Linked DNA regions of Notamacropus eugenii. The main gene of each other region encodes a partner of the protein of the gene in region 2 in a complex. Links are inferred from orthologs where the notes say so. Each region holds a gene or a part of one and is shown on either strand. Other genes may lie near its edges. The genes, in order: cadherin-like protein 26 and CTNND1.

Evidence for each region.
Region 1: CTNND1 (region 2) and cadherin-like protein 26 share a complex: the UniProt entries of both Homo sapiens proteins name them as parts of the cadherin:catenin adhesion complex. The link is inferred for Notamacropus eugenii from reciprocal best matches to the Homo sapiens genes CTNND1 and CDH26.

What each region holds. Positions count from the first base shown.
Region 1 is NC_092872.1:504,831,672-504,839,571, forward strand, and holds the start of cadherin-like protein 26, read right to left. Parts: upstream 3,199-7,900; 5' UTR 2,613-3,198; coding exon 2,444-2,612; intron 2,008-2,443; coding exon 1,841-2,007; intron 552-1,840; coding exon 423-551; intron 1-422. UniProt on the Homo sapiens protein: Cadherins are calcium-dependent cell adhesion proteins. They preferentially interact with themselves in a homophilic manner in connecting cells; cadherins may thus contribute to the sorting of heterogeneous cell types.
Region 2 is NC_092873.1:3,341,590-3,349,130, reverse strand, and holds the start of CTNND1 (catenin delta-1), read right to left. Parts: upstream 3,132-7,541; 5' UTR 3,004-3,131; exon of another isoform or gene 2,899-3,003; intron 2,707-2,898; exon of another isoform or gene 2,637-2,706; intron 1-2,636. UniProt on the Homo sapiens protein: Key regulator of cell-cell adhesion that associates with and regulates the cell adhesion properties of both C-, E- and N-cadherins, being critical for their surface stability.

The DNA.
Region 1 (7,900 bases), on a different chromosome or scaffold from region 2:
AAAGAAAATTGTTTTAAAAATACTTAACTATTTTGGGAAATACTTTCTTTTAATTCTACACCAAAAAATTGGAAATAGAGATTACAGATGCTTGCTATTCCTTTAATTCATCTAAAAGTAAATCATGCACACTCAAAATAATACACTCATGTTGTTCAAGAATAACGATTTCCAATCTTTTCTCACTTGTGACATGCTATTATTTTGGACATTATTTCCTGACATCCAAATCACACTTCTTTAGTAACCCCCTCCCCATAATATTATGATATTAAATTAAAACCAACTTGATTTTGCAAATTTCATGACACCTCCCACCTCATCAAGAAAACTGGAGACACCCTGGTATGACACAAACTGGAGACCAAATCTCATTTGGTCTTTATGATGATTAAAAAACAGAAGTTAGCTGTTGGACTTACATGTCCCTTAGTAAATGTAGGCATATGGTTGTTTCCATCTTCAATTGCTATGTTAACAGTAGCAGTGGATGACAATGATGGCTCTCCATGGTCATTTGCTCTAATCAGTAATTTGAAGAACCGGGTAGCCTATGCATGGAGGCGAATAGTTAGTTTCCCCAACATATGGCAAGAAAACAAATCAATTGACTTTGTTGCTTAACTTTCATTTCCATTTGTTTTGTAATGACCCCTCCAATGTTTCATGGTGGCATGGATGTGGGTTCTTGTAGGCAATGCTCTGGAAGATCCTATCAAACTGAGAAGTTATTGGGCCAAGTCCAGCAACAGACTCTGATACTAATGTCCCAGTACCAGCCAAGCCAGGATCAGAGAGGTTCAACAACTTTGGCTGGAAGGTAATGAAATTTATTGGGGGTCACTACAATTCATGCATAATGTTTACTTAACTAGAAAGGTTGTGATTTTCATGGGCTAGACAAGCCCATTCCAATGAAACTCTAGATCTTTTGAAATATTTTTGTAGGACTGTAGAATGCAGCAGGAGAAAAGATCTTAGAGATCACCTTTCTAGCGCTCTCATTTTAAAGATAAGGAAATTGAGACTCAGAAAAAAATAACTTTCTTAGAGTCATATAAATAATAAATAAGCGGAGCCAATATTAAAACCCAGATTCAATGATAACTTTTGTTTTTTCCTATATGTATGTGTACGTGTGTATATACATACATACATACTCACAGATATAATATATACTTGTTTTTAAATGTATGCATATATACGTATAATCATGCAGTGTATGTCTGTACCAAATCATTCAGTGTACGTCTGTACAGTACAGGTGTAAGTAGATTAAGAAAGACACCATTATAGTTATCTATGTTTGAATGTTAATTACCTACTAGATTGTCAACTCTTTCAGGGCAAGACACCTAACACAGTGCTCTGAACATATTGTGTTGTATGTGTTGGTCCTTTATTGCTAAAGAAGACCATGCCATCAGAGAAATAATGACATGACTTGCACTTGACTTTTTTTTGAGTGAGGGAGGGCTGTGCAGGTCACCAGCCTCACTTCTCCTCCAGAGCCATCTGAATCCAGTGACCAGATATTCATCAGGATGACTGGAGATGACCCAGGATAAGGCAATTGGGGTTAAGTGACTTGCACAAGGTCACACAGCTAGTGAGTGTCAAGTGTCTGAGGTGAGATTTAAACTCAGGTCCTCCTGACTCCTGCACTGGTGCTCTATCCACTGCACCACTTAGCTGCCCCTCTGAACACAGCATGTATTTACTCAACACAAGATGAATGGGAAAAAAAAAGATGCACCTACACACTTAGAAGTCATATATAATAATCACATGTGGGAGACAGAAATTCATGCTTTTAAAAAGAATAAAAAAAATTTAGTACCGCATAATCTAAGCATCCTGAGACATGGATTTCTCCACTGCTGTGATCTATATAAAACTCATTTCCTTTTATCAACGGCACTTGTGAAACAAGGGAATAGGAGACTTCAGAATTGGGAGTTTGCTCTTTGTCCAAATCGACTGCCACCACCTGAAAGACAGGATTATCTAGAAGGAAAGAAAAAAATCAGTTGTTACAACAGATTAAAGTTCCATAGTGTAGATTGGACTTATTTTAATTAGGCTGTTAGTGGTCCACCAGGAGTTCTAAATGCTAATGAATTATTTTCCAGGTAATCTTATTGTTAGTATAAAATTTAGCTTAAGGACCAGAAAGAATCAGAAGAAATATTAGGCCTGCAATATTAAGAAATGAACAAGAAAATATATACCTGAAACCATTCAGTTGCACATCCCTTCCCACTCTTCCTCTATCCTGTTTCACTATACAAAGTAAAGGTGCCTCCATAAAAGAAGTGAAGGAATACTAATCTGTTTTTACATATAATTGGGGAAAAACAAAATATTAAGAATATAAAAAATGATATTTCCACTGATTAAAAAATGGAATATGAATCTCACCCAACAGGTGAACAGGTCTCACCTAGATTGTGGTTTTCTTTGATAGTGATGTTAAATTCTTCCCCAGCAAACTGTGGTGCATTATCATTGATGTCAACAACTTTGATAACAAAAAATAAAGAGTTATCCACAGTTTCCAAAGTTGAACGGTCAGCAATTTCAAAGGATATCTGGAAAACAGTGGTTAACATTAATGCCAAGACCAATTATTCAGGGGGGACATTACTGTATTATCTTTTATGGTTTCTTACTTTTTTAAAAAAAGTTTTGTTATATCTCCTCTACTAGTATCTCAAATGAATCATCCTCATAAATACCCCATAGACTCGTGCACTTAGACCATATCCTGATAACAATTCAGTTGATGCAAAAAAGATCCCACTAAAGTTCAATTTCAATGTGCTTCTCCATGTTATGTAATTGATATGAGCCCACAAAGACTTAAATCATCAAGATACAATTTCTGACACTGTCTAGTGAAAGACAATGCTTTAAAAGGAGAGATTTGAGGCTCTCTCCTTCTGAGGAGTCATGGCCCATGACTATGGGCTTTGGTTCTTTGCCTTGGCAGTTTTTCTTCTATTTTAGGTGAAGGATGTTAGAGGTTCCAACTTTGTGAATTTCAAAATGTCAGAAGAATAAGCCACCTGAGATGCAGCAGGCAAATCTATGCTGAGCTTTGCAGGCAGCTGAGCATCATTGTCCCAAGAAGCAAGGAGAGATCTTGGGACCCAGCATAGCAGTAGTACTCAACTGACTGCAATGCCACATTTGAAAGTGAACTTGGTGGGAGCAATGCTTTGTAGAAATTGCATTAAATCTGAGCCAGAAGTGATAGAAGAGGGAGAGTGCCCTCAATTTATTGAGGAGGGGATATTTGTATTTCTGTTCTTATTATATCTCCATATTTTTAAGGTAAATATCCATCTTTAAATGCGAACTGATATTAATTGGTTTAATGGAACTATGGCACTAATCACTGATTCCTAACCATGGAGGAAAACATTTCCGTAACAGGATATCAATATGATAACAGTAGAGAAGAGATATCCCAACTCCTATAATCTTGAAAGGATGAGGTAATCAGCCTAGTGAGCCCAGAGAGTACTTGCTGTGTTTGAATAAATCAATTTATAAAATACTTTCTGTTTCACAATACTGTCTCTCCAAAGGAAGCTTTGCTGACAGAAGAACCTCACCTACAATTGAGCTACTCTTTGTAAATATTCTTCAGGGGAATTGGTGGGGAAAAAAATTAAGCCATAATTAAGCCAGGGTTGGTAAATTCTGGGATAAAATGAGGGAATAAGGGGTTGAGAAAGGGTCACAGAGGGTTGTGTTAACAAATCTCAGAGTAGAAAGAGAAAGCCACCTGAAGCCATGGATAAGTGTAGGAGCCACAAATATGGGATCAGAAAGAGTGGAGGAAACAGGATTTAGAGCTGAAAGAAACTTTGGACATCACCTAATCCAACCTTTTCTTTTTAAAATGAAGAAACTAAGAACCAGATAGGATAGGTCATATTATCATAACAATCTTCTAATTCAACTCCCCCATTTTTTTCATGAAGAAACTGAGGTTTAAGAAAGCTTAATAACTTGTTCCAGGTTACACAGGTAGAAAGTGTCAGAACTAAGATCTTAATCCATATTTTCTGACCAACATCTGTTGACTTTCCCACAATTACACAGCCAGTGGTGAAGCCCAGATCCAAACCCAGGCTCTCTGATTCCTAGTCCAATATTCTTTCCACAATAATACATTGCCTCTTTACAAATCAAATCTTGGTAGATATTCTAAGGACTAAAAGATATCTAGATTGTGGTCAATGCCCAATAATCCAGATATATTATAGAAGGTTAGAGCTAGAGAGGACTTTAGAGATCATCTAATCATGAATCTCGTTGTTGGAAGTTATTTTAGAAGCTATCTAGTCCAACCTGTACCTGACCAAGAATCTCCTTTACAACATTATCAACAAATGGCCATCCAACCTTTGCTTCACCAGAAGTGAAGGAGAATAAATTACCTCTCTTTTAATTTTTGGTTAGCTTTAATTGTTGAGAAGTTTGTCTTTACTAAAGTTTAACTCAGTCTCTCTTCAGCTCCCATCCATTTATATCTAATTTTGCCCTCTGGAACTGAGCAGAAGTATAATTCCTCTTCCACATGACCTCTCTTCAAATAACTGAAGTAATATATAATATCTTTCCTAAGTCTTTTTCTCTCTGGAGTAAACAATCGTGTATCTTTTATCTGATCCTCCTATAGCTGAATCATGGGATCTTCAATAGCCTTGGGGCCCTTCTTTGGATGCTTTTCAACTTTTCAATGACCTCCATGATATGGTTTCCAGAACCAAAAAATAATACACCTCATGTAGATTGGTTAGATTAGGCTTTTTATCCCAAAAGGATGAGGGGCAGGGAAGGAAACACAGAATCAGCTAGCATAATTAATAAATTCATGGGCATGATAGCTGACAACAGGAATTCAACCAACCCCTTTACTCATCCTAATCTGGTCTACTTGTAATTGGCATATTCTTAGACTCATGGAATCTTAAGGAGTCTCTTTCAGAGGTCATTTACTGTATTCCACACCTGAATTATACCCCCTGAATCATACTCAGCCAGCAGATGTTCAGCCTTTTTGCTTTAGAACTTTAGTCTATTTGAAGGGCTTATTCACCCTGGATTGGTGTATTTGCAACAGTTTTCAGTTCCCTTTTTGCCACTGAGTAAAGAACAGTTCTGGTCTTAATGACCTTAGGCTACTCAGTATCAGGCTGAGGTTTTGGGTAGAGGTTTGTCTCTAGGGTTGTCATCACTGTATAGTCATTTCTCATAACGAGCACAAATTTGAGACTGGAAGTACCTATGAAGCAGAAGCACATTTCCTTGTTTCCTTTTGTGTGAGAGCTCTACCAATGGTTTGTAGGATATTAATCAATGCTGTAATTTGAATGGAAGTGGCATGACTGTGGTTCTTTTTCCCTGATACACTGAATAAGACTAGAGAAACTATAAATATGACCTAACAGGGGAAGCTGCATAGCAGGAATATCACCTGCCTTGTTGTATACACTATATCACTTCATACAGTCAGAGATCAGATCAGGTTTTTTGGTCGCCATGTTGCACTGTTGACTCGTTGATTTTTTTCCAGCTTCTTCATTTTATGCAGAATGAAAGCAAGGTTCACGGAGCCAAATCATACCAAGGAACCAAGGGGATGTCTCTTAAAGAGGGTGATAGAAAATGATTGCTACTCAGTAGCAGTCTACTCTGTTCTTGACTTCAACAAACTTTCTGCTACACCACACTGACTGTGTCGAGTGACTCAATCTCAGGTTAAATACTAAAAAAAGATAAATATACTACACTTTTCACATAATCCTTTATCTTTTTATTTCCTATAACAATTTTTAGTTTTCCTGAAACCAGATTTCCTTTAAAATACAACCATCTTTTACACAATTCATGAATATTCCCCCAATAACACTGAATTTCTGCACCTATAACTATATTGTGTCCTTCCACTCAAAAAGAAGCATTGTGATTTTTCACAATGATTTTATTAGGATCCTGGGCCTACAGCATAGGCCCAGGGACAGAGACAATACTAATACCTGGATGAAGCTTCCAAGATTTGGGGAAACAAAAGGAAAGAGGAAAACCAGAAGAAGGAGAGAAGCCTAGAGATGCCTGGAAGGGCAAAATTTGGGTCAGAAACTGATGGAAAATGGGGCAGGGAATGGAATCCCAGATGAGAAAACTCATCGATGCAGTTAGGCACCTTCTTTGTGATTTATAGTCAGAGTTCTCCAAGGCAATAAGAGATTAAGTGACTTGCTCAGGGTCACACAGCCAGTATGTGTCAGAAGCAAGACTTGAAAACAGTTCTTGGCTCTGAGGCAGCTTTTTATCCACTGTGCTATGGTCCCTCTCATGATTTCATATTTTATTATTTTCCCTAAAAGGTGGGATAGCTATACTCTAAACCAGTAATTTCCCTCAGGATATATGCTGGGAAAATTTGTTGAATTTCTACCAGGGCCCTAAAAGTCAGAGCAGATGTAAAAACACTTATGTATATGTTCTACACTTGGAAAGATTTTTTCTGTGTGTGGATGTGTTCGCTATGGTTGAAAAATTTATTTCCTAAAAGATGGGTTTTGTCCCTGAATAGAAATAGGCATTATATGTCTCTGTCTGTCCTTACCTCTTAAATCTTTCAACAGTTTTCAAATTTGGCTGGCTCTTTCTTAGGGGAATGAAGGAATAGGATGATCCCACACTTTCATTCCATTACCCCTCAAAAGTTAACAAGGGTAGAATGTTTTCTCTACTCTTGTTACTCATCCATACCTTAGCAAGAACAATGGCGTGGGTTGTTTAAAAACTATCCCGACTGTACAAGAGTCTAAAGGGAAATGTTCAACTTTCCCCTGAGCCTCTCCCCAGTGAGCTATTTTTTTTTAATGTAGTACTTACTGTTGGTGCTACTGATCCAACTCTTATCATCTGAAAGCAAAGGGTCTTCTACTGCAATGTAGAAAGGGATCCAAGAGACTTATTGTTAAGTAGAAGCAAGGTGGAAAAGAGAAAAGAGGGCTGACTTTTTTTGACCCTTCCTACCTGTGTGACTTTGGGCAAGCCATAACCTCCCTGGGACTCAGTTTTCTCACCTGTAAAATGAACAATTTAGACTAAATGGTTTCTGAGGTCCCTTCTAGATTTAGGTATATGATCCTATAATTATAATAGTTGGTTTTAGATAGCACTTTGAGATTTGCAAAGCATTTTACACAGTTTCTCTCATTTAAGACTTAAAACAACTTTGAGAAGTAAGATACTAAAGACATTCTTATCTCCATTCTACTGATGAGGAAACTGAGGCTTGGGACGTGTACATGACCAGCCCATGGTCACAAAACTCAAATATCACAGACACAATTTGCCATCTCAGTTAGATTAAATGAAAACAAAATCTTTGAAAAGTTTTTATTGGACATATTCTCTATGCAAGGTATTGTCATGCTAGCTCTTACCTGAACTTGACATTCTATTTTCCACTCTTGTCATTTTCAATGTCCTGACTCCAACCAGATCAAGTAAAATATATACTATAACACATTGCCCCTAACCCAACCTCCTTATTTTACATCAGAGGGAACTAAGGCTCAGACAGGTGAGTTGCATTGCACAAAAGTAGGTAAAGGGAAGAGCCAGGTCTAAAACCAGGGTCTTGTGATACCTAGGCCAGAATTTTTCTATTGCAGGGCACTGCTCCCCTTGACTATACCATGCATCCTAATCTCCTTAACTCTACTATAACTTCACTGAGAACCAGGTCTGTGTTATATTCTGTATTTTATACAGATCCGTGTATCCCCTTTGTATCCACACAATTTAATTCAAGAAACATTTATTAAGCACCTCCTATGTCTGAGTTTACAAAGACAAAAACAAACCA
Region 2 (7,541 bases):
TTTCCCCATCATGGAAATAGTAGATAGTTAATAGGTTTTCCTTTGATGAAATAAGCAGGAATATTGTGTACTTTAAACCAATATGGAAAAGTAAAATGAGGACCTTGAACAAGATGAAAACATTGTGCCATTTACTAGGGTTTGTTTGTTTTTTTTAAACTACCCCCTAGAAATGGCAGCAGTCTTGGCCTGGGAAATGGAAGTAAAAGGGGAACCTGCTACCAGAAGAAGGATATAATGATTTCTTCAGGGCAACACAAAGTCTCTTAATGAGCCCGTAGAGGTCCATTTCTTTCCATCTATTCTATCTTCTCTTTTGAAAGACTAGTTACATTCACAAGACTGTCACCTACATCTCTTCAGGGAATAGGACAACCAGGTTTTAATTTTAACTACTTGGAACTGGTAGTAGAAACTCTAAATTCCATGTCAGATAAAGGCAAATTTTATAATTCCATTTCTCTATGGCCTAAGAAAATACAATTATGGGATTTACCCCCAATTCAGTTCCAACACTGCTAGAAAAAATAGAAGCCTGACAATACCCTGCCTTCTAGGAGATTTCACAAGAACAAAGGTCACTGGATCACTTATCAAATGGACCATTAATACAAAGGTGAAAACAAAACATAAAAATATGCCTACTTAGCCTACCGCTCAAACTGGAGGGCATTCCCCTCACTTCCAAAAGAGGAACCCGACGGTACCCTTCTCTGGAGTTCCAAACCTCCTACAATTCTTGAATATAGGAGACAGAAGACAAGTCTGCTTCCTCATCTAAAACAGGCCAATGACAACATCTAGAGCTGCCTCCACTAACTCTGGACCAGAGATTTCTTAATCTGGGGTCCATGGACCAAAGAATATATTTCAAGGCGGGGGGAGGGGGGTCTCTGGGGGAAAAGTTCTGTTTTTACTAATGTCTAACTAAAATTGGCATTTCCTTCAATTATTAATTTTTAAAATTATGCTGAGGAAGTCAATAGGCTTTATCAGATTGCCAAAGGGGTCCCATAGCACAAAAAATGTTAAGAACCTCTATTCCAGATACTTACTTGGATCCTACCATCACTGTGCGGTGTCCATCCACCAATCACCACTACCCAGTCTTCAAAAGCCTATTTTCCATTTTCAAAATGTCTTTGTAATCTTTCTCAACAGATACCCACTTAAAGGTTTAGAGGGATAATGGGTCAACTAGCAATTCTGATCAGTCATCCAAAAATGTATTTAGAACCTCAGGCTGAAGCCAAGGCAGAAAAAGGGAGATGAATAGCGTCCAAATTCTTCTAGCCCTATTCAAATAAAGACACAGTCGAAAGGGCTGAATCAATCATCTCCTAGGATATTCCCCATAAATGTGCCATCCTTTCTTTTTAAATTTAGACTGCAGAGTCAAGGAAGAAAGAATTGATAAGGCTTATAGGAACCACTCCACTTTGGTCCTGGCATAAAGAAGAAATTCCATTTTATTTTGAAACCCCTAAAGCAAGTAACTCCCTCAACACTCCAGTTTTGCATGCAAAAACATTTTCAGGGAAGTTTTCTAATTAAAAAGGGAAGGAAATAAACATACATGGAACTTTTAAAGGTATGATAGTTTAGGTACTAAAGGCCACTAAATTAAGGCCCATCTTGTTGCAATTAGGTCAAGAATATAATTGCATGTATAGTTTTTAGAGTAGCTCTGATTGTTAAAAGGGCAAAGGGAGAAGAGGAAGTCTAAGTCTTTAGCTAATGATCTGACTACATGATCATCTAAAATTTTGTTGAAGTACATATAAAAAAGTACTTCACAAATAAAAAAGATTTAAAACAAGGGAGGGGAAAGTCAGTGGCCTACAATGCTACGAAAGTTCTGATCTTTTAGGAAATCAACTAAAAATCTACTCACCTACAAAACTAAACTTCAGTTTTTTAAAAATATTTTTCCTCTTAAAATTCATCAAATGAATTGGAAATTCAAGTGTGTAACAGTTTTCTGTTCACCTTGTCTAACCTCTCATTTCTAAATAAATAAAAAGCTAAGATCATTTCTAAACTATTTTTCTCCTTCACTCAAGTAAACTAAAAGACCTCCTAATTCCAAAACTCTCGTAACAGTTTTTGCAGATTTTCGGAAGTAGGGGTGAAAGTCTTATCAACTTAAGGTAGTTTTAAGAAAAGGGAAATGTAGTCCATGAGAATCCATTTGTTTTCTTTTAAAAGGCAAGGCAGCAGGGCCAGTACAAGAGAAAGAGGCTCCCACCCACTGCACCTGGAAAAGTAAAAAAACGGGATCCACCCAGGAACATGAGGCTGAAACAGAGTACGGGAGTTTAATCACACTCTTGGGTGGGGAGCGGGGGGAGAGGAGTGGGAAGCCACTACCACAGCTTAAGCTGCAAATCTCCTTGCAACTTTCCACGTCCACAAACAGGGCAAAAAGTAAAATAAGTTTTAAAACATATGAAAAGCCATCTACGAAACCAGCTTTCGACCTGAAGACAAATTCCTGTCTCAACCCACACAATACACCAAAACCCAACTTTGAGAATTTTGTTACCAAAGGTTATGTAAATATGTTCACTTAGACCTAGAAAGCAATGAACAGTCAGAAAGTACACCAGCAGACAAATTCACAGGACTGCTCTTACCCCTCAGGAGCTGCTCAACTAGCTCCCAGCGCTGGAGACCCAGAAGTTTTTCCTTCTCCTTGCTGTTTTGCTTTGAAAAATAAAATTAAAAGTAGCAAAAATTGAGAGGAAAAAAATGTTTTAAAATTAGCCAGCCTAGCTGAATTTCTCCCAAACATCCAGCACCTTTTGAAAATCCCTCTAGTTAGCAAAAATTAAAAATTCAACTAGATAGCCTATCATTCCCCTCCTCTGGACACATTACACAGACACAGACACACACCTCGTTTGCAGACTTCTAAAAAACAATCCTTTACAAAAAGGAACCCCAATCCTTGCCAGTACTGCCGAAAAAGACAAGGACAATAGTGTATTAATTTTTCTCCACCTCTTTCTCCTTTACGGCTCGTTCCTCTTCTTTCTTTCCTTCTCTCCCTCTTCTTTTTTTTTCTTTCCTCTCAGATCCAACACCTAAAATGGAAGTTGCACCCAGCCAAAGGCAAGGGAGGCTGGGTGGTGACAAACTGGTCTGCCAGCCCTACCCCCTCGCTTTCCTAAGTGATGTCAGCCTTTGAGCACTTCCAATAGAAACCTGGCATAAATCAGGGAGCTGACCTTATCCAATAGGAAACTTTATTATAGGAATTAGAAAAAAAAAAAAAAAAAGAGAGAGACAGAAAAAGACACAGAACTTTTAAAAATACATATGCATATATATAATATGTATATCTACATGTATATTGCAAAAGCAAAGGATATACAATCCTAGAGGAAGTATGGCAAGGGCTGAGCCTGAATGGAAAAAAAGTGTTTAGTTTTTTGAGTTTTTAAAAAAATCATTGCATAGAAAAAAGCTTAAGCTATTTCCTGAGTTCTCTTTGAGGATGGGACTGTTGAGGATTTTGCGTATGTCTCCTCAAACCCTTTCCCCCTGCTTTCAGATTGTAGGGGATGTCCAGGCATCTGTCAATAAATAATAATAAATAAATAAGCTGTCGATTTATATATCGATTTTTTTTTTGTTATTAACTATGGGGGAGGGAGAAAGAATGAGACTGTACTTAATCCATTTATGGGGAGACTGGGAGGGGTCTTCTTTGAGGTAAATCTCAATTCCATTGTTTTAATTTTTTAAAATTGAAACTGATTCCTGGGCTGAATAGTTTCTTTAGTATAATCGGTCTTTGTTCTTCCAATCAAAAAATGTGTGAACCATACAGAATATAGAAGGACAAGTGATGTAGACTAAAAAACTACCCAGATAAATCAACTGAGAAAATCTCAGAAAGATAACAGTATATGTTTTTTGGAACTGTTGGCAGAGTTGGCCTCATGATTGCTAGTTTATCTCACACTGGACTACACAAAAAACTGTTTACATTCCTTTTTTTTTTAAACATATTGATATGTCTAGCATAAATGACGCTCTTAAAATGTCAGGTCCTAAAGGGCAGGGGTTGTTAAGTTTCTGGTATAGAATCCAGCACACAGAATTTAATATTCACTGAATATTAAGTTATGTGAGTTGAAAACTTCCTTTTCATTCTGAAAGGAAAAAAAAATCCCAATATCTGCGAACAATAACTGACAATTTCAGATTAATTCTACTTTCAATACAGGTTTTCTCGTCAGATTTCTCCCCACCCGGTAAAATCTTTTAGCAGCACCCTAGGGGACAAAGTGCATTACCGTGGGCCCAGCCCTTCACAATCTCACCCCACCCTACCTGCCCAAGTTTATCTCATAGATCCCAGGCAAGAACCCGCCCTGCCAGGAAGGTTAATCTTGTCACTATTCCTAGAACAGCCCCTCAATCATTTCGGCTCCCACGGCTAGACTGGATATTTCCCTAAACTAATTTTTTCTTCCTTCTTCTCAGACACTCTAAATCCCAACCATCTGTCAAGAACCAATTCAAGAGTTAGGCCCCACCTCTTTCACAAAGCATTCCTAACTATGCCATATTGCTCTTTGAACCCTGTATAATAGAACCAACACACGAATATTAAACCTAGTCCCATAGTGTGAAATGCCTGGGCCTAAGATTTTTTTTACAGGAATGGGGAAAAAAGCATGACAGAAAGGAATGACGACTTGGATAGGTTTGAAAAGAACAGTATGAGGATTTCGTTAGATAAAGGAACATAGGACTGAGAGCTAAGGAGACCTTAGAGATCATTCTAGGGCACTTTTATTTTATGAAAGAGAAAATTGAAGCTAAGTTAGTAAAGTGAAGTGAACTGCTCAAGGTCACAAATTCTTTAAGTGACAGAGCATCCTTAAAATCCAGATTCTTAAGATTCCCAAACTAATACTTCTGGTTGTCTCCTGAGAAAGAAATGTACAAATCTAAAACATAGTGAAATGGCAATCGATAAACAGCATTAAGAATTGATAATCACAATACATTGCACATAATAAGCAATAAATGTTACTTGAATGATTCACTGATATCCTACTAGACCAAGACGGCTGCCTGGAGAAAACAGAAAATATTTAAAGGAAAACAGGATATGACACCGTATATTACTGTACTTAAAAAACTGCTTCAGATTAGCTCAGATAGAAGAGGTCACATGAACTGAGGGCTGTCTCATGAAAGTGCATAACAAAGAAATCTGTTTAAAAGTGGCTTTATTTGAAATTTCCAAGTTAATCTGCAGAGAATGAAGAGGACATTCATGAATTTGTAAATAACATTAAAATAAAGACACATAACAGATCACCAAATAAACACGGTAACAAAAAAATTTAATTAAATGTATCTAACCTGCACTTCTAAATAAAGATTGCTAAGCACTGAGTGGAAACCACCTCTATATTAAATTAGAAAAGAATGAGGGGTGGGAGGCTGCTTCATAATATCTTCTATTTCTTCATCTATATACATGTTTTATTCCCCCAAAAGAATGTAAACTCTTTTTTCTTTTGGTCTTTTAGACCAGGTTCATCGCATATAGCAGGTGCCTAATATCTGCTGAACTGGATTAAATACAAAAAGAATCAAAGTTGTATTACGAGCACATACAAATTCTCTGCTTGAGTCTTAAAAATACACAGAATATATTTTTCATTCAACTTCAAAACTCTCTAAGGCTTACAGAACCATCACCAACAGGTACACAGAATGATGATTTAAATTGGTGAAGTAAAGATTAGGAAGAAATTTTAAAAGTAGAGAAAGGACTGATAAAAATAAAATAAAACAAATAAAATAAAATCACCATCTATTCATCTGCATATAAACAACTATACTATATTAGCCAACTCTGGAAATCTACATTAAAGAGATTAATAGCAAGAAGTAGAGATTAACAAACATTCAATCTGAAGAAAGCATTGGATAAATACATACACACAAAAAATGCCCTTTTGGTTACTAGATATCACCTAAAACGTATGATTTTTGAGATCCTGAGAAGGGCTATGATGTGCCATTTCCTTTAAAAATTCTGCTGACCCGGGATGAAACTGTAGTTATGCTAGCTAGGATAAAAGTATAAAAGATGACTGTTATAATTCTTGGTACTTCGCTTTGCCCTCATAGTAACGTTTCCAAGAAGATAAAGCAAAGATAATCTTAATCTTTGTTCAAATTTCAACCCTATCTCGTCACTGGAATGCCACTGTCTGAATCATCTAGGGATACTACAGTGAGACATTATAAACATTTAGGGTTCTGTCTTATGTCTGTTTTTTCCTGCTGGCTCCATCTAAATCCATCCTCCTTCTGTTCTATTTCCTCTCAATTTTCCTGCTTCCTCAAAAAAAAACCAAACTCTTCTCAGATTGATATTCTCAATTTGGAGAAATTTTTGAAAATATTGATTACACAATGGAAGAGACTTTAGAGATCATCTAGTCCAACGGTGTTAAACTCGAGCAGGATCCCTGTGGGGTGTATATTGATTTTGAAAACCACAAATTAACATTATATTGTACTGTATTTTTATTTTTTTTAAACATTTCCTTTTTATCTGGAGCACTTAGAGGCCATAAGGTTACTAACTTCCTTTTACAAATGAGGAAACTGAGGCCTAGACAAAGCAAGGTGTCTAAGGTTATAAGATTCAAATATAGATAAGTCATAAAAGAGCAGTAATCACAGCAATTAAATCAATATTACCATTCCTCAGAGCACCTGCCAGTCATCAGAAAACCCCTCTGGGGCCACACAGTCCTCTGTGTGTACTGTCTTCTTCTATCGACTCTTGGAGGACCGAGAGCTTGCTCGCTTATATATATTTTACATTTATATATATTTATATTTTAATTTTATATTTATATCTCCAGCACTTAGCAGCAAGTACTTCCTTTTTTAAAAATTTAATTAAAATTCCAATTCAAGCAAGCTGCCTCCCATTCTAATTCCTTTTCTATTTCCACCTTGTTCCCTTTTCCATTCTGCCCTACATACTCACCCTGGTGCTTTGATCTCTGGACATCTCCCTTTTCTATCAGCAGTCCTCCTCCAGTGAAGCCGCACCCCTGGGGATGCCTGGATCAGCCTTTTTCGGTTTCAGCCACACTGCAGGAGACAGAATCACAGAATGTCAGAGACAAGGCACCTTGGAGGTGGCCCAGGCCCAGGGTTAGAGCTAGAAAGGATATTCCATTTCCCCTTAAAGTGTGGCCTGGCTCCACCCACTCTTTTTACAGGTGGAGGCTTCTGGCCGGAAACGGCATCCCTGGAGGGAACCCAGAGAGCCAGTGGCCTGGAGGGAGGAAAACCAAAAAGGGCTGGCTGGGATCGTGGTCCAGCCACTTAACTAAACAGAGAAGAAAGCAGGGCCAGACTCTTTCACCATGTCGTCAGAGACACCTTGGACCCAGGCCTTCCTAAATGCGCCCACGTGAGGGGGAGGAAAGGGGCCACCCCACCCTCGGAACCTGCCTCGGAAGGATCCTGGCCCGAGGGGAATGGTC